Linked DNA regions of Styela clava. The protein of the gene in region 1 binds, or shares a complex with, the protein of each later gene. Links are inferred from orthologs where the notes say so. Each region holds a gene or a part of one and is shown in the gene's direction. Other genes may lie near its edges.

Region 1 (8,694 bases):
AATGTCTCTGTCAAGCAGAAAAGTTTACAAATTGCTAATAATGTGTAAAAGATCAGCCATCTTCTTTCAAGTCCACAAGTACATTTATTACTGTTGTACCGTTTGTATTAGCAAGCGGGATGTAAAATTGTATCAACCTATCACTGTAGTTTTAAGAGTAATTTATGTTTTTGCTGATTGGTCCTAAACATGTCTTACCTTACTGTTTTGCCGAATATTTCTTCTATTTCATCTAATGTTGTATCTGTATCCTCCACAGTATCATGGAGCAATGCTCCTTGTAGAACTTCAAGTTCTGTAATGCATCCCTCTTCAGAAAGAATGTTTGCAACCCCTGTTTGTATTAAATTCTTAATTTTAAAGTTTGATAAATCTATAGTGTTCGTTGGGAATAGCAAATGAATATTCACAAGCTGGTGATTTCTGATTGAAAAAGAGTTTAATGCAGCAGTTTGAGCCATTATTATCTTAGGTATATGCATTCAGAAAGAAAGTTCTATAAAGCTTTACCCAGCCTTCAAAGTTTTGCCTCACTTTGAGAAATTCCTGCTTTTTGACTAGGGGAAAGAAGAGAACTACACACATATATAACATCATGTACAACTGCATATTTACTGTTGTAGTATCTGATTAAAGCCTTACAAATATGACACTATGTGGACTTTCGCAAAGCAGGCAATTATGTTGATGCTTCCGCAAAAAAGTCGCAATGGATATGACATCTCAGTATATACATACATACCTATTGGATGATTGATATAAGGTGTTTTTGAAACATCTTTCCTACGTTGGTCTTTGTGTTTCTTAGCGGCAAAGTTTGCTGTTTTTACAAGCACAGCTAAATCCATTTCAAATAACACTTCCTGGTTTCAGTGTCAGTCTGCAGGTAAACTAGCAGATAGCTATATGACTAAGAGGCAATAGTTTAATGTATGATTCATTGTGTGAGTATAGCGTAACTACTACACATAGAGGCAATAACAAAGACGCTAACTTGGCACGATTTATTGTATTGAAATTGACAAAACAACATTTTATATCAAAAAAAGTATGATTATTTTGAACTTTTATTCTAAATTTGCTATCCTAACAATCTGCTACTATAGAATCTATTCAGACATCAAACTTCTTCAGATGAATTACAGGAAGAATCAGAATCTTCATCTGGTGGCAGGGATGTATGGTTGGGATTACAGTGTTCAACACTTAAATCTATATCAAAAGGATCCCGTTCTTCACTTTTAGCATTAAGTTCATCTCTTTCATTTTGTAGCCAATTTTGTTCAGCTGTCTCGATACTTTTTGAACTTTCACAACTCTGATATAACTCCAAAAGTTCCTCATTCAATGTAAAAAAGTTGGGACCCCATTTAAAAGGTTTCAAAACAGATTTAGCACTATCTTCAAGCCCAACAATATAAAGTGTAGCTGCATATGCCTCCACACATGACAACCTACAGGGCTTGCCATAATTTATTGGATTCGTTGCAACCAAGTATGGTAAAAGTCTCAAGTGACCTCCTTTCATTTTTGAAAATGGAGTGTCTTGCAACCTTGCCCATGAACAATCAATTACAGCTATGCCATGAGCTAATACTTTGTCTTTATCTCCGGCACTGATATATTCAGTAGCCATCGGGCTTAATATTACTCCAGCGAATCTTTGTTGTAATTTCAGTAATCTAACTGCTCCTTTACGAGCAAGCTTTCTTCCTGTACATTTTTTCGGGTCACAGTGTCCCAGGTCCCACATTGCAAGGGGGCATGCTATTGTAAAATTGCTCGTCGTGCCTCTTGGTTCATGTAAATCCTCTTCATCCATTGCAAGTTGCGGCGTTTCATATTTATTTTTGTTTTTGAAGTTTTTCCTCCGTTGATGCTGTTTTTTGTGAGACATTGCTATTGTATATAGTGTTATGTATTCTAAATCTAATTATAATACAAAAAGATGAATAAAAATTGTATATAGACAACCAAGTTACATATTCCACAGTAAATGTTCATTCCATAACAAATTGAATATTCAAACACATTCAGTATTAGTTAGTTACTTAGTTTGATATGGTTATTTCTAGAATTTTAAAATAATCCATAATAATTCTTTTTTACAACATATCATAATCAATAGTAAAATTGCCCACAGGCGCAGCAGTTAAAAATATCTTTATAAAGTTATGTGCTGTAACAATTCCATGCAAATTTTCCACTCTATTATAAATGTAGAAAATATTGTATATTAGAAATAGTTTATTATTTTAATTTAGCAATTATAGATGAGATGAGATTTTTTTTTAGGACAGGAACATATACTTTTGAATACATCATTCTATGCATAAAAATACAAGATTATTGATCAATTATAAAAGATGAGAGCAATAATAAAAACTCATGAAAGTTCATATAAAACAAATTCTCCATTCTGTTACAACTCGTTCTTTATTTAATGCAAGAAATTCATTGCATAATAATTTTCTGTACATGATACAATAAAATATAGTACTCAATTGACTTCAGCTGTGCATTACATACAATCAAGCTTAGACATTTACTGGATGCCATTCTTTAGATAACATTAAAGACAGGGGTGGGCAATTACTTTTCTGAGTGGGCCAGAGGCTCAAAAACTTAATATGAAAAGCTATGAATAAAAAACAGTTTATTTACAAAAGCTAGTTCAACAGCTAGGCTAACATTTATATAATAATAAGAAGCACAATGTGGCAATCGGGGTCATTATGACATTATTTTCAATGGAAATTTATATCCATGAAAACCATAGTCGTAATTGCCGCACACCCAAGTGTACCGGGCCTTGCATATCCCTGACCAAAGAGAATCAATCATTACTGATAGAGTTAAGACAGCTGGCAAACTATACATATTTATAGAGATAATCTTTCTCATGACATCCAAAATCATCCTCTCATGAAGTATGACCCTATTTATGTGGTAAAGATTGATGTTCAGTATCACTAAACATGCATAAACAAAGTAAAATTATATTTGAAACATTTAAATTAAAATGAACATGAAGTTTCATTTAAAATAAAAACACATTGTTGATGATAAAGCACATTCGATTGCTTGATTTATGTTTGAAAAAAAAACTATGATAACTATTTACAAGAGAAAGTCTGATTTGGTAATCACTTCACAAGAAGAGCATCAACCATACGATTTTTGAGTTCTGGATCACTGGGCATCGCAAAAGCAATATTCGCCAAGGAATATTTCCTTTCAAGGAGCAAGACAAACTGCTCAGCTGTAACTCCTTTGTCCAAAATGCTTAGGGTCAAATCTTCAGCTGACAATGAAACTCCTTTACCACCACCACCAGATCCAATTTCGCACTCTTTGTTATTGTAGTGAGAAGTTCCACCAATGTTTGCTTGATTGAAATTTCCTCCACTAATGTTGTATTTAGTGTTTGAGGCACCTTTTTGGAAAACTTTTTTCTCTTCGTTGAAAACAGTGTCACCTCTGTTACCAATTGCCGCTTGACCAATAGTACCTCCCACAATATTGAATTGGTTGATGGCACTTCCACCTCCTGAAGTGTTATATGAAACTTTTCCAGGATTAACAGTTCCAAGATGTCCTGTTGCCCTATTAACTTCAGCCATAGCTTCTCTTACTGTGTCCTCAACATATTGTTTAGTTGATTTTCCCCCAGTATACATTTTTGGCACTGCAGTTGCATCACTTTGAATTTTACGACCAGACATAGTAAAATGTTTCAACCACTACCGGTACCAAATATCAAAATTTAATTGAACAGAACCTGACAACGCTATGCTCATTTAGGAACTACTTGAACAAAAAGAAAAAAATATGTCATACTCAAAATATTATTGTAATTTACTGTTGCAATAAAATTCTTTCAGATTTATGATTAATACTAACGTTTGAATAACTTCGTGCTATTACTGTATCATGTGCCATTAAATTGGTGCTTCGAAATCAGATTAAAGTGAAGCCTTATGAACGAGTTATTCATGGCGTAATTGCCCCATTTAGCACAGCTCGCTTGACACAAAAGTTACCAGCTGATCTGCTGGGAAGAAAACGGTCAAGACGGGTACTTCCTCTTAGTGCAGCGGTGATCGGAGTCGATCACATTTTTATCCTTAACCTTTTAGGCTGAGTCATGCGTTCCTTGTCTCGCGTCAAATTTGCCAATGTTTATGCAGGAATGATTGGTTTGTGCACTTGTGCCGAAACCTACTTAACAAAAATAAAACAAATTTCTGTCCTGTTATGTTGTTTAAAGAGTGAAAATGCACTTGGATAGAAGTAAAAATGTACTTTTCGAATAAAATAGAAATAAAGAGAGAGAATCATTGCCGCAAAAACAAAATCAACACTAATATAAACATAATATATTAAAGAAAATATTTCAGCAGTAATAACAGTGATTGATTATTGTTTTGTGCGAGTCGGTGTGCAGGACCGGTTGGGTTCATCTAGGCTCCCGACCCTTGTGTTTATGCTATATATAAGCACATCATGGCATAATATAGTACCAGGGTAAATGCGAATGGATTACCGGTACATAAAATATAAATAAGATAAAGAAATTAGTGAATGATGCACAAATAAAAGTGTAAAATATGTCATAAATTACAGTTAAACATGTACAGAAACGGGATATAAAAATGAACATTTATTACGATTTTCCACGCATCTGGAACTCTGAATTGTTCAACTATTCCCATAAATATGAAAATCCTATCCAAACTGCCATCGGACGACAGTTGATGGTTAGATTTTATTTCAATTTCATCTTCAACGAGTAAAAATCAAACAGACGAACTATGATTATGTCCAAAATAGTTTGTACTAACTCTTTGTACTAACCACATGTAAAATGAAAATCTTGCACGGGGTAATCGCTATAATATACAGGGCCATCATTCTCTGTGGCTATAAATAAGCAATGAATACACTGCGCCGCAAACGACTATGAATGGTTATTTTATTCTTTTAGCAATCATTACAGCAACGTGTCATAGCAGAGAGTGAGTTAAGTTTTAGAGGATTAAATATAAATATACAGCGGGATTGTTTGGAGAAAAACAAAATATTTGGGACCATATTTAGTCACGCGAAAGAATCAGTGACCCGCGACGCTGACCTGATATGTTTCTAAGGAGACGGTGAAGCAGCAAAATTCCCGCGAGACGTTCTGATTTCTTTTTCTGTAAATGATTTTGCTAGTCTATATCTACTAAGTTTCTCTTGGTGCGAAATAAAGGCAATGGCGTCACTTCAAGGGATCGATCCCGCACTAAAAGAATATCTTAAAGTACACCAACTTCCCGAAGTATATGAGGTGATAACAATACTACACAATTTTCAGATTTAGGATTTTTTTTCATATTTTTTCTCAGGTTGCAACAAAGATAAAAATACTGCTAAAAATACAGCCCAGTTTTGCTAATATAAAGTAAATAAATAATGAAAAGTACCCTAGTTCCAAACACTCAGAATCTGCGCTAATCACCCAGTCAATAGCATTCCTATTGTGCTCGGCGGTGTGGCTCATCGTGCTAAGCGTTAGGAATACGCTCACCACGGCATCTCCGTAGGTCGTGGTTCGCCATATGATTGAGTCGTCTTATCGGTTTTTTTCACCCCCTGGATGAATATGTAAATCCTATCCTATCCTTCAATGCTGTAATACTAGTTTAGATATTTAATGATTGTAATTTTATTACAAACCTTTCATTTTTCGCAGTGTATCCTTACTGGTTTGATGATAGCATGTCCAGAGGATCCTTACAAATGGGTTGTTGAAAGCATTAAAAAAATACGCGATCAAGGTCTGGATACAATGACATGGTAGGTGAAGGATTATAATTTGTATGTAATGGTAGGACCTGCATCAAAATAAGTTTGCATATGATGTTAAATCTTCATTTAACATTGCGTTTTTGACCACTAACTTTTGCTCTTCATTTCAGGGATATGTTCGTTCCATTTGAATGTCAGCCAAAGATAAAACAAATGGCAGAAAGTTACTTGGATGAGATTTTCAAGTTTTATGACAAGTTAACCGTAAATTTTTTTAAAATATTTCTTCTTCTTTTATTCAAAGTGAAACGTCAACTAACAGTGCAATTCATAATTTTAGCCATCACCAGATATGCTGAAAGCAGCCTATAGCCATTATTATGGCAGATTACAAAAGATATGTTTCAAAGGATGGCTTAAATACTACTTGGACAAGAAAAATCATCGAAATATGATTCGAAATAAAGTCAAAGAAGCCAGACAGTATGTACAACTTTGGACATACTTGAATTATCGAGCCAAATGCTGTATTTAAATTATTTTAAGGACAGTCATGTGTAATTTGAAGCCTAAACTTGCCATTTATACATGAAAAATAAACAACAGATATTATTTTTTATATTAGTATTTGGTTTACTTTAAACTGTTTTTTTTTCAATATCAAGATTTTAGAACTTTATTTCAGATACCACAGGACAAGAATGATGAGAATATCATTTTCTAAATGGCATACTTGGAAATGTTACGTGAAAAAGAGACAAAATAGTAAAATATATCTATTTTTATCCAACTGAAATAAAATAGCCCAATTACTGGGAAAAATTTCGGCAAATCTATCCATAGGATTCATAATTAAAAGCAATGACTTTTACTTTGAGGATTTTATCTAGATACTGGCTTTTTTCTCGCGGTAACCATATATTGGAGCTTTACTATTTTGTAGTTCTATATTATTTTAAAAAATTTTTTAGGTGGTTTTGATATGATTTCAAAAGTTTGGAATGAATCAGTTTGTCGGCTTGTTTTTCGAGCTTGGAGATCGGTTGCTGTAGACGCACGTAAGACTAGAGAATATTTTGAACGTCTAGAACGTGGAGAATTGGATGAAGAATTCGGTGTCGAAACTGGAGACAAGGATCTGCCTAGTGATACATTTAGGTAATGTTTGAATGTGTTAACTTAAAAAGAAAAACACTCAAGCCAACGCCAACATTTTAAAGATTAATTTTTCTACTAGAGATGAAGTGTCTTTGCTTCCACGAAGATGTGCTATACAAATATTCAGTAACCTGAACTTGATTGAACTTAGTAGATGTGCAAAAGTTTGTAGAGCATGGAAAGTTATCACTGGAGCACCTTCATTATGGAGTCATCTTAACTTCAGTAGAATTAAAAATAAGTAAGTGAGATACTTTTTATTTACACTCAAGCATCAAGTTAGGTGACTATTGGTGCTGTCTTCAGGTGATTACTTTAAGGTTTTAGTATGCAGGTATGTATATTTGTTTCAAAATGTGTAACTTCGTCTGCCTGATAAATAAATAAAAAGCGGATACTTTTACAGGACATTGTTGGTGTCTTAAGACACAGTTGCGAGACATTCATTGGTCTCTATTTTTGAATTTGAAATTAACGCTGGCTGCCTTCAAAAATGTACTAACCTAAAACATCTTTTTTTTTAAATATGGTGAGGGACATTTTTCAATATGGAAGTATAATCTAGGTATATTGATAACATTTTTAACATTATTTATATTTGATTTCAGAGTGAATGATAGAGCCATTATTCAGTGCTTACAGAAGAGTCGTCCATACCTTGTACATCTTAATCTTCGACAATGTTTTGCTGTGCATTGGCCTGCCTTCAAAGCAATTGCTGAATGCAGAAATCTTCAGGATATAAACATTTCAGAATGCAAAGGAGTCAATGTAATGCATTGTATATTATTTAGTAGTGTGTGAGCCCTTAATTTTAACCTACATTTGTGTGAATAATGATTTTTTCTACAGGATGAAATTATAAGAGCAATTGCTGAAGGATGTCCAGTGCTTCTGTATCTCAATCTCTCGTACACTGAAATAACCGATGGCACATTGCGTACATTGGCAAGATGTTGTCTGAACATGCAATACTTGAGTCTGGCATATTGTAACAAGTTTACAGATAGGTATTGCTGTCTATATATCATGAGCCTTTTACCTCATGCAGGGTGTTATTTATGACACCATGTTGAAATATAAAAAAAAATTGATTCCATCAAGTAACTTGCTATATTTGTAGCAAAAGCAACTCATAAAAAGGACAATAAGTATATATTGTATAACAGTTAATATTGGATTAACTAGAGGTATGCTAGAAATTAATTTGAAGAAAAGTCCATAATCATGGCTGAAACATATATAAGATATAATTATCCGAAGAGAGAGAAAAATTTCAATTTTTAAACAGTTAAGTTTTTTTTTTAACATAAATTGTTGGACAATGATTTGAAGTGGAACATTTCTTTGCTATAGAGGCTTGTACTATCTGGCTACTGGGAAAGGATGTAAGAAACTGACTTATCTTGACCTGTCTGGCTGCACACAAATAACTCCTCAGGGATTCAAGCATATATCTAACGGATGCAATGGTCTTCAATCACTGTTTCTGAATGATCTACATACTCTTACTGATAGCTGTCTAACAGTAAGATTTGTCTTAAGATGTGAATTCAGTCTTTAATTTACTCTCTCTATAGTAGATTCAATACACAATGATGATGCAGTTTGATGACCAGAAATCAATATCCATGATTTCTAATGCAAATATGACTAAATCGACTTGTTACATGTAAGCCATACCCACACCAACTAAATTACCGTACTATGACAAAATGGTTATCAATTTATTAATGTTCAATA
Region 2 (8,476 bases), on another chromosome or scaffold:
ATTTTTAGAAATTATACTATCAATAGAGAACATATTATTCTTTTGAGAATATCACCCCACATCCATTAATAAGTTTTGCTTAATATACATTTATGAAGAAGTAGGAAGTTCAGATGGCTTCAGGTAAAAGGTGATATATATCACTCGCATTGAGTGATCACCAATGTGTTAACTCACGTTGCTAGAGCCCGGTAAACGTCTGAAATCTTTACGCACAAACTACGAACTTTGATCTACACCAGGTGGCCAACACATCGATTGCGATTGACCGGTCGCGAGTAGTCGATCGCGTCTGATGTTGAGTAAATTCAATAACATAGCCCAGAAAATTGCGTTGAACCAGTTTTATACTGCGACTGTTGTGTGTTTCAAAACAGGAAGAATATAGTACTGTACAAGCGCAAAATACGAAGTACACATGCAGTAATTGAGTATGGACAAGAGCAATAGAGTATATTATTACGTAACAAATGCAAGTTTCCCTACTGCCATGTTTTAGAAATGAACATGCAGAATATCGCGTGTTTTGACAGGCAAACGATCCTACAACATTTTCTGCACTGTGTGAAAGTTATTGTCTCACTCCAAGAGTAGTGTGATAGATTTACAACGGTAGCAGTGGCACCAGCCTATGGTAGCTCAGTAGTAGACGTTTCATAGAAATAAGGACAAAAATATTTTGTAAGACAAATCTCTTCAAAATAAAAACAAATCTTGGAAATAAAGACGTTATGGCCTGCCTATAATCATTTCGAGTCGTAACAAGTGGGAATCGGGATAAAACTAACAGCAGTTTTCAATCAATTCATTGAACCGATTGACTTTCAGTCAGATTATCCATTTTTATACGGCGGTCATTCACATCCTTCGCTCCGAAAAAGGCAATTTACAAGCAACCGATGATACGAGGCGCTATAGCCTTGAATAGACTAAAATGTGTTAACATTGCAGATTACCTTTGCCATGTTCAATTTATTTATTCTCATGTGCAACAACATCTATAATTTGTTTATCTCACAAATTGAAGTTTGATATAATGGGCATCCTCATCAGAAATTTGTCCCGGGCAGCAGAAAAGTTTGACACGCCTCTGCCCCACCTTACTCAGGGTGTAATAAATTGGGTCGACAATGCCGAACCGGAAAGATTTATCAAATAATAGTAATTCCTCAAATATCAGTGGACGCATGTGAAAGGCTTTTTTTAGAGTGAAAGACCCGAACAAGCTCAGTATAATATATATTAGGTCGGACGCTTTAACAGCTTTGTCATCGCGACGCCTAAAACAGTGAGTTGATGTCAATCACCCGGAAATACCCGTGACTAAGACAGCACAACAGTGAGTTGTGTGGTGTTGTCTTTTTTTTTGTTGATAAAATGGATTCTAAAAGTTGGAATAAAGTTTAAATAGTGTTTATGGTAATTACTCAATAATGAATCAGGCAATGCTTCATTATTGAGTAATAGACAGTTACCAAAATTGGATTTAGTTACTGGACCGGGGGCTCATACCTCCATGGGAAAAACTAAAAATCATTTAACCCAATGGCGGGAAATCACTACGCTTCTAGGTAAAAAGGCGCACAGAAAACAATTTAAATGAAGAAAAACTATCAAATGCAGTGCTGGCCAAAAATTGAAATGGGTGGAACGTAAAATGATGCCATACTATATTTGCATAATGAAATGCAGTGCTGGGCATCTGTTATGCGTAAAAACGGCACACAGAAAACATCTCACATAAAAAAAAACATGTAGCTACATGCCAAATTATGTACAAACACAATTAACTTTAGTGTGAATTTTGCTGCTGTTTCGTTTCCAATATAAGATGCAAACGAGGCATCAAATAAGTTTCTACAAACGTAGCTCTGCATTGGCGTACAGTCATTTCTTTGCTTCGTTTTAATTAAAACTAGGGATGAAAAAGTTTTTACAATTATATAATCAAATTAACATATTGAATAGTAGTATAAAAAATGCAAATTTTTGTGGCAATTTCATTGAGAATGCACCCGCAGAGCCGAGCTTATTGGCATCGGTGGAATTTTTGTATGCGTGTGTGAGGTTATCTGCGTATTCAGTATTCGTACATTTTTGTTTATGACCTTATTACCGATCAGTCAGTCGATCGCGAGCTTTTTTGAAGATTTTAGTCGATCGCGGGCGAAAAAAGGTTGGCCAGCCACCCTTGGTCTAAACTAACCTTCAATGTCTCTGCCATCCAATATTCGGTCGAGGGGGCCTTGAAACCAATCCAGGAAATGCGAGTCTAAAAATACAAATCGAAATTTTCAATGTTCTTCCAAAGTCCACTTGGACATAATAAGTTGGCGTTTAAGATGGGTTGTTACGATAAAATACGCCTACCATTCCTAATCTACCTAATATTTAATCAAATGTGATTTCTTTGAGCAGGATTCTTCAAATAGGCTGTTTGCGTAACAACACCACTCTTGCTGTTGATGCAGTCGGGGAAATTAAAGGAAACTTCTTGTAGCTGCGAAAAAAATTCGCCTTAAATACGAATACATTTTGGAATTATACGACCACTGAAATCTCACTCAGTTTTTCACTCAGTCATATATTTGAATCTATCAACTCTGGGCAGGGAAGGAAGAATTATAAAATGCGCGGACCTCCAGAAGTATGTGCACCAAGATGGCGCACATCCTGAACATAGTATGTGTACCAGGTTAGGGTTCAAGTTGTGCGCCATCTTGGTGCACATACTTCTGGAGCGCCAAATGCGCAATAGGTACTGCGGTATATATTCGTAGTACGGACAAATTATTTTGAGTTCGTGGACTTTTGTTCAAATATTTTGAAGTAAATTTGGTCTGACGAATGTTATAAGTTGTTTGTAAACCAGGTACGTAATTGTATCCTATACAGTATACACCAACCTGGTAGGTTACCTCCTCTGTCGAAAAAATCTTCAAAAGACAGAGCTAAAAACAATGTAAAAGGCTATTTCAGTGCTACCATATATATATCTTTAAACAAGTTTCACAGGCAAAACTAATTTCAAAGCACCCATGTAACTTGAACGAATCTTTTGCGTTTGAATAACATTGCTTTCAACAAGAGAAGTACTTTTTCGGTAAAAGAATAGGGACACGATATTATTTTTGTAAAACGGTCTTTACGGCTAATCATGATTGTTCTTGACTGTAATCATCATTAATATGGTTTTAGTGGATGGTGATACATTTAAAAATAACACTTTCTGAACGAATAACAATTTTTAAATTGGGAATTGTGGTCACGAGCAAAGCGTGCAAAATGAGCTGGCTATGAATAAAAAATGAATATATAATGAATAAAAAGTGCTCACCCCATTCACTGTCTACTTCACAAATAAATGATAGCAATGCTACGTAGAATATAGCAGCATAAAACATTGTTTTCCAGAAGCAGCAAATTATTTGAGAGCACAAATTTAAAATCTCACTGCGCCAATGCTATCACAAATTTGTGTTAACCTGCACAATTAACCGTAAATATTCCACAGAGAACGCGTGGATAAAAGGCAAATGGGGCTATGAGCGACTTTTTCTCCAATACCTTTTCGACAATATATTGTAAAATATATATGAGAAATTGGTGTGGTCGTTTAACAATGCCACTGTATACGAGAAAATTGCGACAAAAATTATGGATAATTTTTAATTTCATGTGCGTGTGAGCTGAAGAACTAATAAATATCAAGATCTTAAAAAATCTTGTTCATGTCGGTAAGTAAAGTTTTCATTGGTTATGAAATCCATCAGACGAACTTTAAGATGTCCTTCACATGTCAATAACTTTACCAGCATTAAACTTTAATCCTGCATACAAACAACTATTTTCATCTATATTGAGCCATCATTTATTTACAATATTTCCAGCCAACAGGCAACAATCTTACTCGCTATTTTTCTTTATGTTGTGTCCGGTTGTATTATATTTAATTCACATAACCTTTTCTATAAAAAGATAAATGGACAAAAATGAAAGTGACGGGAAACAATATTTTACGCGTAGTTTGGCACATATAAAAATACGATATAGTTCTCGAAGACATGGCCAATTTGTTTCAAATTTCGATAAAGAGTTCAACCAGGCTGTATAAAAAATACTCTGATGACGGAACAGATTTCGATTTCAGAGGATCAACTAATATACCGTAAGCATGTGGATCATGTTCTTATCATAATATCTGTGTGTTACGCGTCGAATTATAAGTATTTTGCGGCGGTTACGGTTGTCACAAAACTATCACGACGATCATAACATAATTTTGCGCAATTCAGTTTGGAGTCTAAGAGGCTGTTTTTTTTTGTATAAGTTTATTTCGACCCGAAATTTTTGCTTTACCTTATATATTGCACACATTCCCATGCTGTTTTTTTCATTTTACATTTTTTCTAAATTAATTAGTAAGTATTTAAGTTTGATTCGCAAAAAATACTGACTACGTGAATTTGAAGGGACAAGCTGTTTTCGATCGGTTTGGATTGGTTTAAATTATCTCGACTCCGCGCACTTCCATTTGCCTTTATCTGTAACCATGACGAAATTACACGCTTGGTCGAGGAGATTGATGTTGTTTTCCTTTTAATCATTATTTAGATATAAGTTACGTACTTAAATAGATTTAGCCAGGCGATTATACATGCCATAGGTGTTCGATATTCACCACGGTGCCATTTTATTCATATTCCAGTACTAAAATCAGGTTTTGTGGTCAAATCTCTCATGCATGTTATCTGGTACGTATATTGTGAAAATATGGCTATTGCTGTATTGACAGGATTGCCCTGTGTGTTATGATTATATGATTTGGTCATACCAACTCTTGAGTAGTCTATATTTTAAAGTATGTATTTACTTTTATTGCACAGTTCAAAAAAAAAATGAAATCTAACAAAATTTGATAATGTAATAATTTACATTTCAAAACCATTAATATACGGTGAAGTAACACAGAACAACAAATTGACAATCTGGAAGTTGTTACAAGGAACTACAGAACTAATGGCGTTCACTCACGCAACCGCTGCTAATCATGCATCAGTCATGGAAGACTGTATTGATCAACTTTCTATTCTTGGAAGAATTCTACCTGTTTCTTATCAGGGCCAAAGTGACGCAAAGGAAGTGAGTTACTGAGTTTATTGTGTTTTGTAGTGCTGTACAAATATACCATTGCTGGTACCGTTACTCCATGTTTTTTTGACTTTTTGCAGGCACATTTTCATCAAAAACATGCTTTCTTTTTTGTTCCTTCTGGGAGATAGATATTGTACGAACAATTCAAAATTGTGGCCTATATATCTTGCTTGTGAAACAAATTGTCCTTACTTTTTTAGGAAATGTGGCATATATAGTTCAGGTTTTGCTCATTTCAAAATAATTGTGAATATCCATACTGTTAACTGCTCATAAGAAGTCATTTACTGAATGTATTTTTTGCAGATTGTTAGTAAAGATGTGAAAAATGTTCTCAACAGTCAACGTGAAATTGAATCAAAGTTTGACACAATTTTATCGTCACGAAATGATGGCGGTGGAAACTCATTTGTTGGATCAAATCAAGTATGTTAGAACAGTGTTTTTCAACTTTTTTCGAGCCAAGGCACACTTTTTTCATTGAGAAAATCCCACCAGCTGAAAATGTGAAATAAGGACCTAATATTCACAATATAAGTGTAATATTGTTCATATAAGCTTTTTTAACATTGAAGAAAGATGTTGGATTGGACATCTTGAATAGTAATCAAATAAAAACAATGACAAAAAGTCAAATTGCCACCTGCGCTGACACCTGATATAGAACAGTACTACATGATTACTCTGTCGGGCGCTACACCGCATAGACACACAATTTGGAGAATTTCCCACGGTACCCCTGACAGTATTGTACGGCACACCGGTGTGCCGCGGCACCCCGGTTGAAAAACACTGTGTTAGAATATATATGAGCAACTATCTTTTAACCTGAAATGGTACGAATAGAAAAATAGAACTTAGATCTCATCACACGTATCAAGTATGTTAGAATATATATGAGCAACTATCTTTTAACCTGAAATGGTACAAATAGAAAAATGAAACTGATATTTGATCACGCCTATCTCATGTACGGTTCAATGGGTATAATAAAAATAAAAATTTCACTATACATAAATTGCCTCATGCATGTACGTGACAATTTTATGACTTTGTTTAAAGCAGAGGTTCTCAAACTTTTTTAAGCCACACCCTCTTTTTAGAATTTGTCAAGTCTGACGCCCCACCTCAAAAATAACTAGCTAACAATAAGCTACAAATGACAGATAGTAAGGTAAAAGTATGAAAATACGTGGATGGAATGTAAATAACGAAAACACTGAGGATAATTAAGATACAAGAACTCTAGCTCTCCACAATATCTAAACAATGAAGAAATGTAAATATCCAAAAGAAGGCGAGCAAGATCAAATATAACAAATGTTTTTATTTTTAATCAGTTTCACGCCACTCAAAAAATTGTCTACGTCTCCCTTGTGAGGTGCGCCCCACTGTTTGAGAACCACTGGTTTAGCGTGCAAGGGATCATTTTGAATTTGGTATTTTATGAAGCGTTCGATTTATTATTTTTTTATTTAATCCCCCTTTGAATATTTTTGCAGATAAAAAACTTAACAGGTTCACTGACATCCAGCAATCGATTTGTGAGTCAGTCACTAAAACAGAGCCCACTGACGAGTGACAATCTTGTGAAAATACAAAAGGACAGGTGAAACTAATAATATTTATGCTTAACTTGTAGCCATGGTCCTAATTACTCACTATATAACCCATGGATGTATAAAATTGGATGTGCAAAATTGTATCTACTTGTCTTTGGAGATTTGCTTAATACAAATATAGCAAATAATAGTATTTATATAGAAAAGTCGATAAGATGGCGAACTGTTTCAGAATAAGTTAGCCAGGTAATTGTTTTCAAAAGCATGGCTTTAGTAGTGGAGAAAGCCGTAACCGACCAGCAGTCACGTGAATCAACCATTCTATGGTGGCCAGGAGTCCAGCAATTTTCCTAGACATAATTGTCCCTCGTGGGATTCGAACCTGCGAGCTAATGAAAGGTAATCAGAGGTGCAATGACATGCATATTCCTAACACTTAGCACGTAGAGCTATGTGAAGTTATTAGGTTTCGTTTCCAAAATTTAAATGACTATCTGTGTATTTTCATTTTTATTGAACATTTTGATTTTAGTTTGTTTTTCTCTCAGGCAATTTTGTGAAGATGTTTTGACATTGACACATCAAAGTTTACTGCAATCTTTTGATTACCAACCACTTCTGGATGCTGTAATTGCTGAAAAAGAGAGAAAAGCTGCTCTTCAACAAAAAATTATAAAGTATGTTATTGATTAAGGGCGAGACTAATAATCGTCATCAATATTAATGTAACAATTTCAATTTATGGCCAATTTCTAATATGATATGTATATATGGAATATATTCACTTATTTCAAAGTTTATGCAGCTCATCAAATAATTTCATTCTTCACCATCAAAAGGATACTTTAATATGTGCTTTTCAGCTATTGTAATCATATTGCTGTTCAAATCTATCACCTTGAAGTAAATGTCAGTATAAATATATTTATTTCTAATGTAAAATGTTTGACCAAAAAATATTCACATTTTTTTAAAGAATACTAATTTTCTTGATTTTTTGACTTATTCAATACTAACATGCTCTGAAATGCATGATTGGAATATTCTTAACTTTCAATTCAAACTTTTTTTGTGATTTATTTTTTTAAGAGAGGAACAAGGCAGAAGAAAAATCAAACAATTACAGCGTCAGCTTGGGGATATCAAGAAAGAAAAGGAATTAGAAATTCAGCAACGAAATGAAATGATTGCTCATTTAAAAGATCAACTACAAGTATTGTATATTAAGATTATATAAGGACCATACTAAATATGTGCATAAGTTCGACAGTGTATTTAAAGCATTGCAATTTATTAATGAGTGTCCAAATCATTGCTCTGAACAAAGCACTGATCAAGAAAGTTGTTATACTCTGGGCGATGAACTTTGATGGCAGCAACCAGAGCTTTGACTTGATAGCTTTATGAAATGATAAATCATAACATTGTTTATGTTATTACACTGCCAATGAATATATGATTCAAAGTTTAAATAATTCCTAATCGATTTTCTTCATTTATCCTTCATGCGAAGCTTAGGTGTTCATTACACTTGTTTTATTTTCTTGTAGGAAATGAAAGCAAAAAGTAATATGGAAGGAAAGTATGTAAAGAAGAATGCTGAGAACCATGTTCACCAAAATCAGCAAAAATGCATTCTTACTGAACAGCAACTGAAAGAAAAGCTTGAGGTTTTTCTAACTAATTCAGAATTTGAAACTAGAATTTGTCCAAAAATTTATAAATTTAATTTCTATCGCAGTTACTCAAGGCACAGACAG
Region 3 (8,996 bases), on another chromosome or scaffold:
CCAGGTGTTCCTCGAAAAATTGCTTTTTCGAAGTATTATGACGTCATTCGAATAATATAAATAGCGTCGATTTGAAAATGGCGAGTCAGAGTTTTGGAAAGTCGGTATAAAAAACTTGTAACCAGATAAGAAATGACAGGCCATATTCCCTTTTAATGGACTTTATCTCGGCGTGTATTTTTAGTGATCCATTCCATTCTTGACCAAATAATGTTTCAAAAATGTGAACATTATACTCGACCACGAAGGGAGTCATCATCGGAGTTGATTACATTCGTTGCATTTTTAAGCTTTTCTTGTAGTAAGAATTAGGGTGTGGAATCATCAAAATCGTCTAGTGAAGTGTTGATTTTGCAAATAAAATTGTGAATTTGTAGGTAACGATTATAGCTATGATAATGGTCGCGGTATTGTTTTGTTAGAAAAGAAAACGTGAAAACTTGAGGTGATTTTCTAATCAGTCTCCCCTTCTACTAGGCACAAAAGCAATTGGGCACAAAATTGTTTACAATTTTTTTTCATCTCGCCTAATGACCACGTAGAAATGCCTTTATTTCAGCTTTTAAATCAACATTCAGGATTCACGCAATCACAGATTTATCTAATAACAGTATCTAATTGATTTATTTCGGAAATAACACAGACACCAGTGTGGAGCATAAGAAACTCAATTATCGTTTTAATAAATGTGTGCTCGATAATGATAATATTATTCGCCTAAAACTGGGACGTTTAATTTGCAAACGGCGATAAGTTAGATCAAAGTCGGGGCAAACGATAAAAATCAGAATAAAATTAAATTGGAATGTAAAATCGCTCCACAATGTCAATACCATCTGTTGTCGATATGAACGCATATAGTTATATCAAAATATGAAACTTCGATCTCCGCCGATCGGCAAGAATTAATAATTGCGCACAAGAAAAAAGGCGGTAATATGAAAACGTTCAGGGGGCAAAAAAAGTAGCGATTATGACGAAATTAAACAGTAAAAATTGCTTTGTTGCCAATTTTCAATGTTTCTATTAATTTCCAAATCGACTTCCGACCCTCTGGACTCCTGTTGCGTATAAAAAAAACGCGAGAAATTGAAAGCCGTTGAGAAAGAGCTCTCCCCATTTACAGCCAGAATGAAATATTTGAAACTCATCGAAACAGACCCAAATATCACATTAATATACCATTTCTGTTTCTAGCTAATCATAGTATTTATAAGCAAACCCGCAAAAACATTTATTTGTACCGTACTTTAGCTCTTGTAGCTCTGAATCGGAATGTGTCACGTCTTTTCCAGCTAAAGTTGACAAGCTATATTATTAATTTCGTTATTTTATTTTCATGCCGAAATGATCGATGTCAGTTAATTGCATAATATAGTTTATTTTCAAAAATCTCGTTTGGTGTTCCGCCACAACTTTAGATTAGAAAAAGTGTTCCGCGATACGAAAAAGGTTGAAAACCAATGCAATAGAGGTACAGCGTGTAGCTTATACAGTAGTTGCAAAAACATGTGAGCGTTGGGCATCATTCGCAAAACGCTCGTAGTCCATTAGAATCGGATAAAATTTCTGCTCATATGTTGTGCAAAGTAGTTTAATTGAAGTTTAAATAAGCTATGGTTGTGTGAGTGGCGGCGCGTGGTCATTTTGACAACCGGGGCAAGCTACTGCGGGACCAAGTCACCCCCATCTACGGGGACAGGATGAGCGCTGTAAGTTCTATCATCATTTTATGAGTATAAAAACCATTCCATCGGTAACAACCAATCGGCAAAAGCGACAATTTTTAACGATAAGTAAGTGTCTTTAAAACCGGTCCAAGTCAAGGGATTAATAAATATAGACATAATTTATTTTGAAACCTCTTTCAAAAGGAAAGGCAATATTTACCCAGATAAATACAATGACATATTAACAGAAACTTCGGGGAAGCAGACAAAACCTAAAAGAAGGTTTAAAACGTTACTATGAAGAAAGGAAAGGTAATGCAAAGATAAGGACATGCGTCGCTCACTCATAGATATATATGCTGCTAGACTTCTACTGCTTGATATATGCAACACGCCGCGGTTTCTTGGAAGCAAAATGCTCAATAACGCGCTGATTAAAGTCATGCATCCCAGAAATAACGTCTCTGTGAATGGATAAAACAGCCAAGGAATTTAATCTATCTTGCTTCATTGTGTTTCTGAGATACGTTTTAATACGCTTCAGCGTGCTGAATGTTCGCTCTGCGTCGGCGGAAGAAATAGGCGTCGTCAAAATGATGTCCAGAAATTTTGCAGACGCCGCAAAGGTAGTTACTAGAGTGTTATCTATGAGGAACCCATAGAGCGCGCAAGTTGATGTGATGTTCTAAAAAGTTTGATTGGTGTATATACATCGCAATTCATTTTCCAATTCACCCACGTTTATCATGGGGTAAAATTTGGAGACAGTAGCCAACAAATGGATGGGAAATTGACGTGCAAATTTTGAAAAAATTTTGTGGTTCATCAAAGAGAACGCGGCAAGGTGTTCAGTGCGCAGACGATCGCCTATTTGATTCACCAGAATGTCACAGCATTCCTTTGCAGACAAAATCAAACGCTGCGTTGTTTGCCCGCGGCGTAAAGAAGCACTCCATGTGTCGTCGTATTTTATTGTTTCCCGGATACGAGATACAGCATCGCAGAAGTCTGAAATACACGACTGCACAGACGCTCCATCCATTAGCCTTGACTGCAATGCGCCGTATAATACATCCACGTGATAGAATATTGTGGAGAAAAAAGAGAGAAAAAATGAAAACTCACCATCTTCTAGCAGACGCTTTAGACCTGCCGCCTCTCTCACAGAGCGTTCGTCCCAAACCGGAGAGCTCTGAATGCCATTGCAACACTCAATGAGCTCAGACCTAATTTCGGACACGCCCTGCACCACGCGTGATTGGAAGTTCCAACGTGTTGGTGCACAAGCTGGGAGACGGCGGCTACATATCTGGCGAAGGAGGTCAGAGCGCTTCGGCGAAACGGAAGAAAATGAAGAAAACCCCGAAACATTTGCAAAAAAATATACGGACGAGAGGGGTATCAAGACACATATTTTTAATAACGAGGTTAAATTGGTGTGCATAACAATGTGAAAAATGCGCATTAGGAAAATCTTCTTTTATATTAACTTGAACACCATGTTTCGACCCACTCATGACTGCCGCGCCGTCATAAGTTTGAGCTATCAATTTCGACTTCGCGTTGTAAGGCTGTAACACTTTTTTCAGTACAGCCGATATCCCGCAAGCCGTGCGATCAACGATTGGTACAAAGCTGTGAAATCTCTCGGTAGGTTTACCATCTTTCACAAACCGAAAAATCACAGCCAGTTGGGAAACGCACGTGATGTCAGTTGTCTCGTCAGACTGAATCGAAAGGAACTGGCAATTCTCAATTTCCAGAGCCAAATGTTGTAAATAAATTTTATACATTGAGTCGAGCAAATCATTTTGGATATCCTTAGATGTCCCTTTCGAAACAGTTGCGGCATCAAGATGATCTCTCAATACTGTATCTAGGGATGCGGTGTATTCCACCATATCCAAAAATACCCCTCTATTAGAAGAGCCAGCCCGTTCATCCTGCCCACGGAGGGACAGCTCGTGACAACCAATGAACTTCAAAACATCTATCAATCGACCGAGAACATGGCGGTTTTTCTCGACGTTTTGGTTGTGCCGACGAATAGAAACTGCGCGTCCTTCATCCAACTGTGCTGCAATATTAACATTTTCGAATGTTCAGTATTTTACTGCATTGTCCAGATGCTCCATAGAAGATTGATGATCCCTGGCACGCTCGGAAAGATGTTTAAGATCTCTAAAACCAAATTTACACCAACGTGAGTCACGGGCGGTAGCAAAAAGTAGGCAATAAAAACAAAAAAGTGCAAAACACCAAGTTTCTGCGCAGAATGTACGCCGACGCTTTCCTCCGTCATGGGATTGTTCCAGTGAACAATTTTTTGGTTGATAAGGCCCAAGACTGCGAAAACGGAGTGCGAAGTAGTGCATCAACCTTATTCATTATGAGGTCTAAGGCTAAGAAATGCGAAGCCGGAAAGAAGTGAGGAGCTCAAAAGGAATGTGGAAAATCGAAAGCAAATAGACTAAAGGTCTCTAACTGATTCAAATAGCGAAACAAGCGACAAAAACGAAGGCGAGGAAACTATAAACTCTTCAAGCAACCAACGAACGAGAAGGAATGCGTGAATATGTCAACACGTTGTTGTAAGAAACGTCGGCATTGTGTCGTCATAATTTCGGGGCTAGCCCCGATCGGCCCCGATGATTTAGTAAAAGAAACAGAAAACAAACGAGACAAACGCGGCGAGTGGAAGATAAAAGAGAGAATACGATATACAATGAGCAACCGGGGCAAAATCGGCGTCGAAAGCTTTGCGAGCGAAAAATGAACCATGTCGGGAGAATATGGCTAGCGTAGACAGTCTGTGCAACCGATATTGAGGTATTTTTCGAATATTTTTTATTATACCGAAAAAACAACCGGGGCATTGCCCCGGTTGGCCCTATTGACGCGCCGCCACTGGTTGTGTCTTTTTTTGAGTGAATAGATTGGAATCGACGGAATAAGAGCAACAGTATAAATAGTTGAACATGTTTAAGAAAACACGCCATGTGAGGCAAATAATTAACTTTCAAATACCAAAACACTTACTTGAAGTTTGGGAAACGAGGTTACGTAAATGAAGAAAAATAATGCATTCGTGGTGCAACATAAGCTAACAATTTTACAGATTGTCGGTATCAAACTATATTTCAAACATGGGTATTATGAGTGCATACTCGATAAAAACGTTCGCCTGACCTATTTTTCAGGCTGCATCAGATTGGAATCTTTATTAATCTATTTTTGTGGTAAAATGAATGGTTGACGTAAAATGAAAGAGCCCTCTGTTTGAAAACGTCTGCATAACGTCATGTGTCAGACATCAATGAGGTCATTCTAGAAACTGATATTTTATTCAATATTTAAAAAAAAATTAACCAAGTAACAAATTGTTTGAAAAAATGGTGAGCGTCTTTATTCACGAAACACTTAATCTTTAACAACCAAATACGGCACTCGAAACGGATACTTTTTAAATTAACGAGTCTTCTTCGCTGGTAGTCATTTCAATTAACAATCTTCATACGTCTCTTTGTCTTAGTTATATATAGTTTATTTTAAAGCCACTGTGTAATAATTGTTACCTAAAATTAGAATGACCGATTAATAATATTTTTTGATGTTCAAGATAAGCGGTGATATTAAAGTTGCAAAGTTTTTGATTTCTCGGGCATATTAAATATTTCGTAGATATTTTTATTCAACTTCCCAAGCCTCTTTGTGGTTTAGGTATTTGTTTGTACCAGCAGATGGCGCTCTCAATAACAGGCTCGTTACCATGGTGAGCTGAACCATGCGTGACAAAATAAAACAGCTATACGACTTTTTAGAAATTTCTGGCGATTATCTGTTTAATTTAACTTACAGTTTCTGAATTACCCTAGAATATGACGGAAGTTCTTACAGTTCAACACACAAGAGATGTTGGTGCGGGTGTTTTGCTTCCGCCGCTCAACTTGAAGAGCAAGAAGTCAAACAGGACCAGGAGTGGAAGCGCCAACAGCCAACAGGTTGAACAACAATTTGTGTCTAGTGTAGTTTCGTAGGGTGGTGTAGCCAGTCTGCGGACGGTTTCATTCAAACCGCTATAAAACAAAAACCAATATATCTATCCTGTTAATTTTTTCACCAGAGGTGCATTGGCATTCATTCTACACGCTTAACCTCGAATTAACTTTCTACGACCAGGGGTTAAAGCTATACAAACCACCAAAGTACGACACTCAAAAGACATATTTGCGACCGAACGACCAGTGTGAGATCACAGATTTTGGGGTCTGGTATAGTTTAGTACCACATGCACTTTTAGTTGGCCTGGCTCAACAATTTTTGCATATGTCAATCCTAACCCCCACCTGACTACGTCACCGAAAAATTACGTCATTTCGACGTCACAGTGGCGTAATAAGACCCACCAAAGTATGCGGATGATCGTCCAAAACGCGCAGACGGTCACCCGAAATTGAGCAAGCTATTTCTCTCGTTTTCTCGTCACAACGATCACGATCGGAGAGAGATCGTCGGCGTTAGCGACTCGTTATCGGCGGCGCAGGTGCCATTTCAGCGATCGTAATTATACTTTTGCAATCCTATGACGTGAAGGTGGCGTCGTAGTGACGGAATTTTTTGATAGCATAGTCAGGTAGGGGTTAGAAATAACATATGCAAAATTCGTTATGCTACGCCCACTGGAAGTACTTGTGGTACTAAACCATACTAGACCCGGATTTTGTGCCTTGAAAATCGTTTCTGCTGCGTCGAAACTACAACATACACGGCCATGTGAGAAAAAATTAGGCTTCCCATTGCATTTCTGACCGTCATAGATTTTAAGAACACAGTTTTTTTGAACACAACTCGTCAAATTACAAACAAAGCACCGCTTTACAGCAATCAAATACACAAAAACATGGTGGTCGCAAATTGGTCGACAAAGATATTATTGACCTATTGGAAATGCATTCCCCATTCTCCCTTCCTTAAATGTGGAAACGTGAAACTTTAAAAGATGGTTAAAAGTAATACAACTCTACCCAACTGACAAGTTTCATCTTTTTATTTCTTGTATTTCTATGGATTTTCAAGCTTTACTACGGGGACAATAGGTAGTTGGCGACATGAAAAAATGATTTTTTTTTTGGTCAGGTTTTCGGTCGTAACTTCGTTGTTTGTGGCCCAATTTTAGTGTAATTTTGCAGAGCTATGGGGGATAAGTGGACGATAACGCGTGGGAAATATTGTTGCTGTTCCTTAATTTTTTCAGCAATAATAACATCGATGAAGTTGATGGTCGCAAAGTGGCTAAGCCACCCTATGAACTGATTGGGATGTACTGACCTAGTTTACTCAAAATATGAAATATTAGCTCATTTCTATTCATGGATTTTTTATGTGATAGCGAAATTAGAATGAGAGAATTTCTGAATGCACATACTAAGTTATTCAAGGGATTTATTAATTAGCATATATCTATCTGCATGTCAAATATCAATATATCTAAATAATGCCAGATTATATTTTCAGGGTGTAGCTGCTGCCTTACGTATTCTTGATCCAGCAAGAAAAAAGTTGGGAACTGTGGAAACCCAACGAATTATTGCTTGCCTTGATGAAACAATTAGACGACATGAACTTCTTGCAATTCTTCCGACTATCACTTTGCAACTCGCAAGATTCAGTGTTTCCTTAGGGAATGAGCTTGTTGCAGCAATTCAGACACACAAGTAAGATTAATAATACATGGTGTATATATTTGATAGAATATATTCCTAAATAACAAGAAATTTTGATATTTTATCAAAATATTTTCAGAGAAAAATGCGCCCTACTCGAAGATGTCACCAAATATTCCAAAGATTCTGAAAAACTTGAGAAGTTAAGATTAGAAGTGTCTGAATCATGCAAGAATGTTATGCGAGAATTTTCTTTAAATCCTGCTGTTGCGACTGCACTTAGACGTGACTTAATTCTTGAAAGTACTGAACAAATTATTACACATCAGGATGCAAAAATTATTGAGGCACTGAAAGGTAATTCATCCAAAATAACTCCTACATTCGGCACTGAAAACAATTTAAGTTATACTGAAGGAGAGGAAAGCCGACGACTTAATCACGAGGCATATAAACCTGGTTCCCAGTGGGGTATGGGATTAGTTAGCCAGTTATTTATCTCAGATGCATGGACTTAATGGTGGAGGAAGCAGAAACCGTAATCGGCCAGTGGCTATGTGAATTCAATTGTGATTTTATTCATTTTGAAACTAAATGCAGTGCTTTTATCTTAAAATGAAATTGTCTGAACGCAGCAATTTTCTGCTTTTTATAAAACATGACTGAAGACCAAAAATGTATAAAAACAATATTTTTCTCAAGAATTAAGAGCGATCATGCTTGAATTGTTACTGACAACACCAGCTGAGGAATCGGATAGATCAAGTTATTTGGATCAAGTTTCGAAAAGGGAAAAGCAAAATTCTACTGTTATAAATAAACTACAGGCACAACTTGATTCTGCAATCGAAGTAAGGATTATGCATTTTATTTTTATAATATAATTATTTTTTTTTTCTTCAAGCTAAATTGTTTTCATAGAAGTATTCAGGTATTATCGCATTTTTAAGGAAATGTAAAACAGGTGATAAATTTAATTGTGACTTTCGAGGTTTAATTGTAATTAATTTCCCATGTTTATGGTTTAGGTTCGTTTTTTTTTTCAAGAAGCCTGCTTCAAGTTTGTGTATACGAGCACATTTTATGCAGATTATACACCTAATTTTGTGTTGGTATGGTTTAACTTTTGCATTATTTTTTCTGCTACCTGAACTGCCAGTGCTTGAAGTAGAGTTAATATTTTAATTCAGTAGAAAATAATTTTTGATAAAATAAGCCTGTTAATGTAAATTCATTCAGGATAAAGAACAAGAGACGAGTAAAAAAACAGAAACAATTCGAAGATTGAAAAATGATTTGTTTCAAATTGAACAATTCTCTGAAGAACATATCAGAAGGACAAAAACAGAATCTGATAAACAACAGGTACTTCGCTTTGATAAGACAAGACAGATTTCACATCCTGTTTTAATTTTTAACCAGAAAATTAGCTCATTCGCGCATCAGAATTTGATTACGCAAGGAGATGATATTATGCTGACTTGCCGGTAATTCCAAAAGCTTCAAACCTTACCAAGTTCTCACGATAAAAAGCGTGCACGCACACACACAATCGCTTGTGAAGGTGGATTGTCTTATCATACAGCTGGTGACTTGTACATTCTGTGATTGGTTGTTTAACACCTGACGCTTGTACAGTCTGTGATTGGTTTGTTTTCGTCGC
Region 4 (6,418 bases), about 3.2 Mb from region 1:
TTATGGGTAAACCAAATTTTTCCACACTGCAACCCAGTACGTGAATTGATGTGTAGAAAAAAAGTCGATATGACTTGATAGAACTCACATCTTCACCAAATATAATTCTACCCGACATATCAACGGATATGTCCCATAGGCACGCAGAGCTAAAGAATTTTCCATTTCTGAATAAAAAAAACATCTGTATTCTGACGATGTGGCAATAATCATTAACTTTACTTGGGGGTCCCGCATTCTGGAACAAATATTTTTCTTCCCATTATTAATTCTTTTCTCTGGATTATTAATTCATTCGCGACTGGAATAGCTGAAAGCTGGAATTTCAGTGGTCTCCTTCAATTTTGCTCAGATGAATGACTCAACTCTGAGCAAATTCTCCTAAACCAAAGCAAGACATTCGAAAGTACTCTTATAGTCCTCTGAAATTCATTTTATAAAGTAATAATTTTGCTGTGATATAACAGATCATACAACAAAAACTTCAATCAAAACCGCGCCAATTAAAAATAAAATTAGAATCCGAATAATTATCACCAATATTGATATGCCACATTGCACCTTTGATGTGTTATTAAAATGACCTGAACATGGCCATATAGCATTCCATGCAGACTTGCAAGATCTTGACAAAAATTTTTATGACTCTCGGAATACTGGCCACCATTCTGTATTGGTGGTATCTCCCAGATGCGAATATTCAACCTCCAACCATTACAACTTTATAAGTATAGTTTGATAAGTTCATCACTTACAGCAGAAGGTGTCAGGACACCCAAATCAGTTATTAGTAAAGTGATATAAGATGGAGGAGTGTAGTCTACATTAGGATGTTCTTGGTCAAGATTCTTGGACTTGATTGTTGATGCTTTGTATTTTATTTCATTCGGTACATCTTGCTGATTTAATGGATAAAGGCGAACGAATTTAATGCTCTCGGCAGCAACATACAAGGGTTTATTATGTGCCTTTGCACAAACAGCAATTTGGTAACTTCCTATCTTGTTCATAATCCCACCGTTTTCTACCACACCTTCAGCACCAATCAATACAAGGTCTATTTTTTCCATAACATAACCAGCAGCTGAGTCAAGAATTACAGTCACTGGGATGCCATGTTCTCTTAATTTTTCCGCCATTATATTACCACTCATGTCTGGTCGTGATTCAGTGACAAAAACAGTGAAACGCTTTTGAGCTTCCATAGCTTTGATTAACATGTTCAAAACTACTCTTGAATATGAATGAACAAGAACTTTGATACCATCATTCAAAAATGGCAACCCAAGTCTGGCAATTTTTTGTCTGCTGGATGATATTTTTTGCAGGAACATTTCACCACGGCTTATTAGAATATCCTTCACTTTATCGAAGTCTGAGTGTTCTAAAGAAGATAGGGTGATAAAGCGAAGAAACAGTTCCGATCCAGACAAGATAGGTGTAATTCCTGTGCAGTCAGTCCTCACAAGCACTTCTATTGCACTTTTTAGATTATCTCGTAATCCTGATAATGTTTCAGCATGATCCTTTCTCAGATATTCTATTAGAGTTTTGATTGCAGCAACTGCGGGAGATGATTGAGTACTGTTTCGTAATTCCGACAAAAAATATTCACTTATCTCTTCATCATTCATGATCTCTTTCTGTGAATACCCTTGCTATATACAAAACAATACCTGCAAAGATAAAAAGAGATATGGTTCAAATAATATTTGTTGAAAAAAGAGGAAATTATTATTATTCAGTCCAGGAGTACAAATCACTAATGTATTTTACGCCAAAAGGCCTTGTATGCCACTGCTAAGTCTGTAAGTGAAAATCACTGGGAAGAAATAATTACAGAATTACGATTCAATTGTTTCAGATATGGAATATTATTAACACTTAACAAGTGAGCATTCTGTTTGGTGACAGGGTCCAGTTTTGTTTGATTGTGGATATCTGAAAAATCATTGCGAAATATTTTGAGAAATGTTTATACAGATGACATTTACAGCTTTTATTCAGTTATAAAATAATATTATGATTAGATATAAGAACATGGTGCGGTACCGGTACTGGATAAAAGCCAAATACAAATTATAGGGTCTAATAAATCCAGAAATCTGTAAATCCTTCTTATAATCCAACTGCCTGACTGTGGTACCGGTAATACAGTAATATCTGAATATGCTGATTGCTGACTACAACAGAACTAGGCTACTAGCGGTACCTACTAATTAAGCAAGCTTAATGAGACTACCTCTATAGAATTTCAAGTTACCAAAATCAAATTTTGTCGCAGGTCATTTCCATCGGATACCGGTATGCATTCGGAGTGGGAGTGGTGACTCCTCTGCGGCCCATGGGCCGGGGCCCATCAAGTTGTGTAAAGAAACTATTCACTTGGCTAACACAGACAGTCCCCGAACTCATAATAGAACTATAATGTAAAAAATCTGAATTTTTTTTGTCCTAACCCTAACCTGGTACACATACTACAGGAGTATGTTTTTTTGGTTAGAATATTGACAATTTGGTAAAAATTGAAAATTTTGTTAAGATAATTGAATTTTTCCTGATGGGGCCGCGGCCCATCAAGCTATGGGCCACGGCCCATGTGGCCCCGGCCCATGGGCCGTAGAGGAGTCACCACTCCTGTAGTGCATTCGGCACAGCATGATTGGGAACATGACGCAATGGTTGTGTCCCTTTACATACTGGTACCGGTACTCAAGACAGATTTTCAGACATGGTTGTAACTTGTAAATATTGGAGTCGCTATCTGTTTGTATGTTTTAGATGTGTTTCCGAAATTTTGGTACCGGTACCTTATAAATCAAAATACCATTGGTCGTTTTGTCTTCTGGAGCGTTCCAGTTTAGTAGTAGTGATGAAAAATAGTTATGAAACAAGTAAACTCGTTTGGAAAGTGCCAGGCGTATGTTAGTCGTTGGTGCCAGCAATGACAATAAATGTCATTGAAGCCAGGTCACGAAAACTGTCAAAGGGGTCAAGGGCCGGATTATTATTCTTGAAAATATCAAGTGTATCAGAACTCCATGACAACGCGACACGCTTCGTTCGGCTGAGAGTTTTATTTTGTGTTCTGCCGCTCGTACAAGGCTACCGGTATGTAGTAAGCGAACTAGTAACTATTTTAAGCTATGACTTGTTTCTATATGTATAAGAAATAATAATAACAACTGGAATGGAATTTTATATGTGTACGGTATTAATGCGTGACAGAGAGAAATGAACAGCTGTATTAAGGTATATTAGGAGGAGGAGGAGGATTTACATATTTATCCCGGAGGAGAGGAAAGCCGACAAAAAGAACTGACTGCTGCCAATACAAAAAAAAATGGAAAGCCTATGTTGACTCATCATGAAACCATATTTGGATTGAAAATGACTGAAATATTGCAAATGAATAATATTTTTGTAATGTGAAATACTTTGGTTACAATTAATCTCATATTGTTAGATAGTTAAGATAGATAGATAAGTTGTTAACGCTTTATAGGTACACAAAAGTGTGATTAGACCATCAAATATTTTTAGCAATAACTAATCTCACAGCCTGATTTTTTGTCATGATTTTACCATATATCATATACATCAGGGGTCGAGAACCTTTTTGGTCAAGAGAGCCATAAAAGGTACATATTTTCAATTGCATTTCCGTGCGAGCCATACAGCATTTCAGGCCTGAAATTTTACTCAAAAGTCAACAAATACAATGTCAATATACATTTAATGTGACTTCTGATGCTTCAACGGCTGCTCACATGCAGCCAAGTTGAAATCTACGATACACATCACCATCACCCTTCTTTCGTTTAGGCATCTCTGTACTAGTTTGATTTAAATATGACAAATACTGTAATTAGTACGTACAAACGGACGAAAAGCTTTTCTCTATAGCTCCGAAACTATAACACTTTGTGGCGTCACAAAATAGATTCCAGAATCCCCTAGTTTTGTCACAATGCTTGTCTGGTAATTCTCTCAAATAACATAGACATGCGCTGGGCGCACGTTTTCAAACGTCTTGGCAAATTTGGCTATAAATAGGTTTGAAAACTCGTTAACAATTGTAAGCTTAGCCTTACAATATTAGATTTTTCTGGGAGCCATATTTATGCCGCCATCAAAAGAGCCATATATGGCTCGCGAGCCATGGGTTCCCGACCCCTGATATACATTATGCTTTATTTTACTTCTTATTTATTCAAGCACTATCAAATTCTATTATAGTAAATAAATAAAATGCCACCAAAAAAGAAAAAGGGCAAGGGAAAGAAAGGAAAGAAGGGCAAAAAGAAGGATGTAGCAAAAGAAGAAGACAAATTTAAAAAGACTGTTAGAGAAATTGAAATTCTGAAAGAACATCTCGCTCATCGAAATGAAATTGCTCGGAGATCACAAGCCCAAGCATCAGATTGGAAGAATCGTCTTCATGAAATGGAGGAAAATCTTGAGGAGCAGAAATTGGAACAAAAAGATGTCAGTGCAGAGTTGACTCGACAATATAAAACGATGCACACGGATATGGACATTAGAATGCGAGAACTAAACACAGAAGTAGAACATCTAAGACAACAAGTAGCGAATGCAAGACAAGAGCTTGAAACAACGAAACGAGAAAAAGAAGAAATGGAACAGGAAAAAAACGAAACAATCAGAATATTGGAAAAAAGAATCGATGAAATGGAAATATCATACGAAGGAGTCCTTACGGCTTCGCTTGATTCACTTATTGGAAAAATTGATGAAGCTAAGGATAAATGGGATCAAGAAGGAATTAAAATACAGGAACAAACTAAAATTACTCTTCTAGAGTTCGGTCTGAACCCTCTGGATATTTGATAATAAATTCAGATAATTTGTTCTGTTGAAAGAATTGCTTACAAGGTCATACGGGAGAACATTTTAAATCCGCTTGCCTTCAATGATAGACAATAAAACTTATATGAATTCTAAAATCTGATCATTGGATTAGACTACCTGCTCATATTTGTTGATGATTATATTCAATAGCTTACTGGAGAACTAGGTATATTTTAATGTAATCCTGTAGTTTTCATAAATCATTTTCATCACTGTGTTGTGAATTGTGCGACTTTCATTTGTGTCTCACTATTTTTACCTTGTTATCATTAATTTCATAGTACCATATTGATAGGTTTAAAGGTTTTAGGGATACTACTGTATAGTTGTTGTGACTAAAAAATGCCTGTAAGATGGAGTGATGAAGATCCTGCTGAATTTGATGAGGAAGCATTCAAAATAGTCGACGACGTAATAGCAAAAGCTGTTCATGATGTTTCAGTTGAAATTAGACATAATTTGGTATGTATATTTTATATGATATGTCAAATCTGGCTTGGATAGGCCTTGAAGCTTCATATACCAACGGCGTTCCGGTTGTTGGACAGTTCATTGCGTTCCTGTTGTTAAAATAAAATTATGGTTCGAAAAGTCTGGTTTCCTCGGGAAACTTAGTTATTAATTGATGTTTTGTTGCATCATAATTATTTTTACATTTCAGCTGGCAAATAATTAGTGCACAGCAGTAATGTATAATGAATGTTTTGCCGACCTTTGACCCTTGTGAACATTTGTATTGAATTAGTATGAATATTCTTTCAATTTTAAAAAGTCATATTTCAGATAATTTCATTGTAGTTCTTCGGCTCTATCTTACGATAGACAAAATTACTGGTAGCGCCGTGTTGTAAATATATATTACATTTTCACGAATTTGGTGCGTTCCGGTTGTTACGATTTTTCTAGCTCATCACTGACCGTATATATATATATATATTTTCAGGCCAACCTTCCAATAATATTTGAAGATAAAGAAGACTTTGGAATTCCAAACATAGAATGGTCGTCTTGTGAAAACTTCACTCCAGAAAATGGAGTGGGTCAGATAGAGAAGTTCATCGCTGTATGTCTTGAATTTTGCTCTTTGTGCTAAATTTTATATATGTGTAATGTGTATGCAAATGTGTATTATATAGAGAACTTCACTAAACTATGCTCTCAAATGTTGAAGCCAATTATGTAGGTCCTCCTGAAGTATGCACACCAAGATGGCGCACAACGTGAACTCAGGTTGTGTACCAGGTTAGATTCAGGTTGTGAGACATCTTGGTGTGCATACTTTAGGAGTACCTATATGTACAATCTTTGACTGGTGATAAGTTAAGGCTGGATCTGTAATAGCTAACAAGTTACGGTAATTGTTTAATTTTATAGACTATAAATAGTTTTCAGGTTCTACAAGAGCAAGGAGTTCGGATATCCTCTTGCAGCATATTAACTTGTTATTCTAGTTCTTCGCCGATTACCTATATGAAACATTTTTCATAATACAATATATTCATATTAGATATATTTTACTATAACAGACTTGGAAGCGAGATTCAGC

Evidence for each region.
Region 2: F-box and leucine-rich repeat protein 13-like (region 1) and dynein regulatory complex protein 9-like share a complex: the UniProt entries of both Homo sapiens proteins name them as parts of the nexin-dynein regulatory complex. The link is inferred for Styela clava from reciprocal best matches to the Homo sapiens genes FBXL13 and DRC9.
Region 3: F-box and leucine-rich repeat protein 13-like (region 1) and dynein regulatory complex protein 10-like share a complex: the UniProt entries of both Homo sapiens proteins name them as parts of the nexin-dynein regulatory complex. The link is inferred for Styela clava from reciprocal best matches to the Homo sapiens genes FBXL13 and DRC10.
Region 4: F-box and leucine-rich repeat protein 13-like (region 1) and dynein regulatory complex protein 12-like share a complex: the UniProt entries of both Homo sapiens proteins name them as parts of the nexin-dynein regulatory complex. The link is inferred for Styela clava from reciprocal best matches to the Homo sapiens genes FBXL13 and DRC12.

The regions. Positions count from the first base shown.
Region 1 is NC_135258.1:12,567,383-12,576,076, reverse strand, and holds the start of F-box and leucine-rich repeat protein 13-like, read left to right. Parts: upstream 1-5,011; 5' UTR 5,012-5,257; coding exon 5,258-5,332; intron 5,333-5,737; coding exon 5,738-5,841; intron 5,842-5,963; coding exon 5,964-6,057; intron 6,058-6,133; coding exon 6,134-6,276; intron 6,277-6,478; coding exon 6,479-6,558; intron 6,559-6,764; coding exon 6,765-6,951; intron 6,952-7,030; coding exon 7,031-7,192; intron 7,193-7,559; coding exon 7,560-7,722; intron 7,723-7,803; coding exon 7,804-7,961; intron 7,962-8,307; coding exon 8,308-8,479; intron 8,480-8,694. Other genes in the region: guanosine-3',5'-bis(diphosphate) 3'-pyrophosphohydrolase MESH1-like, read right to left, coding at 1-7, 199-334, 743-848; 18S rRNA aminocarboxypropyltransferase-like, read right to left, coding at 1,121-1,897; uncharacterized protein LOC120338966, read right to left, coding at 3,147-3,725. UniProt on the Homo sapiens protein: Substrate-recognition component of the SCF (SKP1-CUL1-F-box protein)-type E3 ubiquitin ligase complex.
Region 2 is NC_135256.1:11,518,711-11,527,186, forward strand, and holds the start of dynein regulatory complex protein 9-like, read left to right. Parts: upstream 1-4,890; 5' UTR 4,891-5,019; coding exon 5,020-5,142; intron 5,143-5,460; coding exon 5,461-5,580; intron 5,581-6,656; coding exon 6,657-6,763; intron 6,764-7,264; coding exon 7,265-7,393; intron 7,394-7,805; coding exon 7,806-7,929; intron 7,930-8,266; coding exon 8,267-8,386; intron 8,387-8,457; coding exon 8,458-8,476. Other genes in the region: uncharacterized protein LOC120327970, read right to left, coding at 2,207-2,272, 3,338-3,404. UniProt on the Homo sapiens protein: Component of the nexin-dynein regulatory complex (N-DRC), a key regulator of ciliary/flagellar motility which maintains the alignment and integrity of the distal axoneme and regulates microtubule sliding in motile axonemes.
Region 3 is NC_135253.1:8,310,167-8,319,162, forward strand, and holds the start of dynein regulatory complex protein 10-like, read left to right. Parts: upstream 1-5,433; 5' UTR 5,434-5,548; coding exon 5,549-5,671; intron 5,672-7,184; coding exon 7,185-7,384; intron 7,385-7,472; coding exon 7,473-7,690; intron 7,691-8,035; coding exon 8,036-8,184; intron 8,185-8,572; coding exon 8,573-8,698; intron 8,699-8,996. UniProt on the Homo sapiens protein: Component of the nexin-dynein regulatory complex (N-DRC), a key regulator of ciliary/flagellar motility which maintains the alignment and integrity of the distal axoneme and regulates microtubule sliding in motile axonemes.
Region 4 is NC_135258.1:9,394,930-9,401,347, reverse strand, and holds dynein regulatory complex protein 12-like, read left to right. Parts: upstream 1-4,191; 5' UTR 4,192-4,251; coding exon 4,252-4,851; 3' UTR 4,852-5,153; downstream 5,154-6,418. Other genes in the region: translation initiation factor eIF2B subunit alpha-like, read right to left, coding at 723-1,634; A-kinase anchor protein 14-like, read left to right, coding at 5,215-5,334, 5,816-5,935, 6,399-6,418. UniProt on the Homo sapiens protein: Component of the nexin-dynein regulatory complex (N-DRC), a key regulator of ciliary/flagellar motility which maintains the alignment and integrity of the distal axoneme and regulates microtubule sliding in motile axonemes.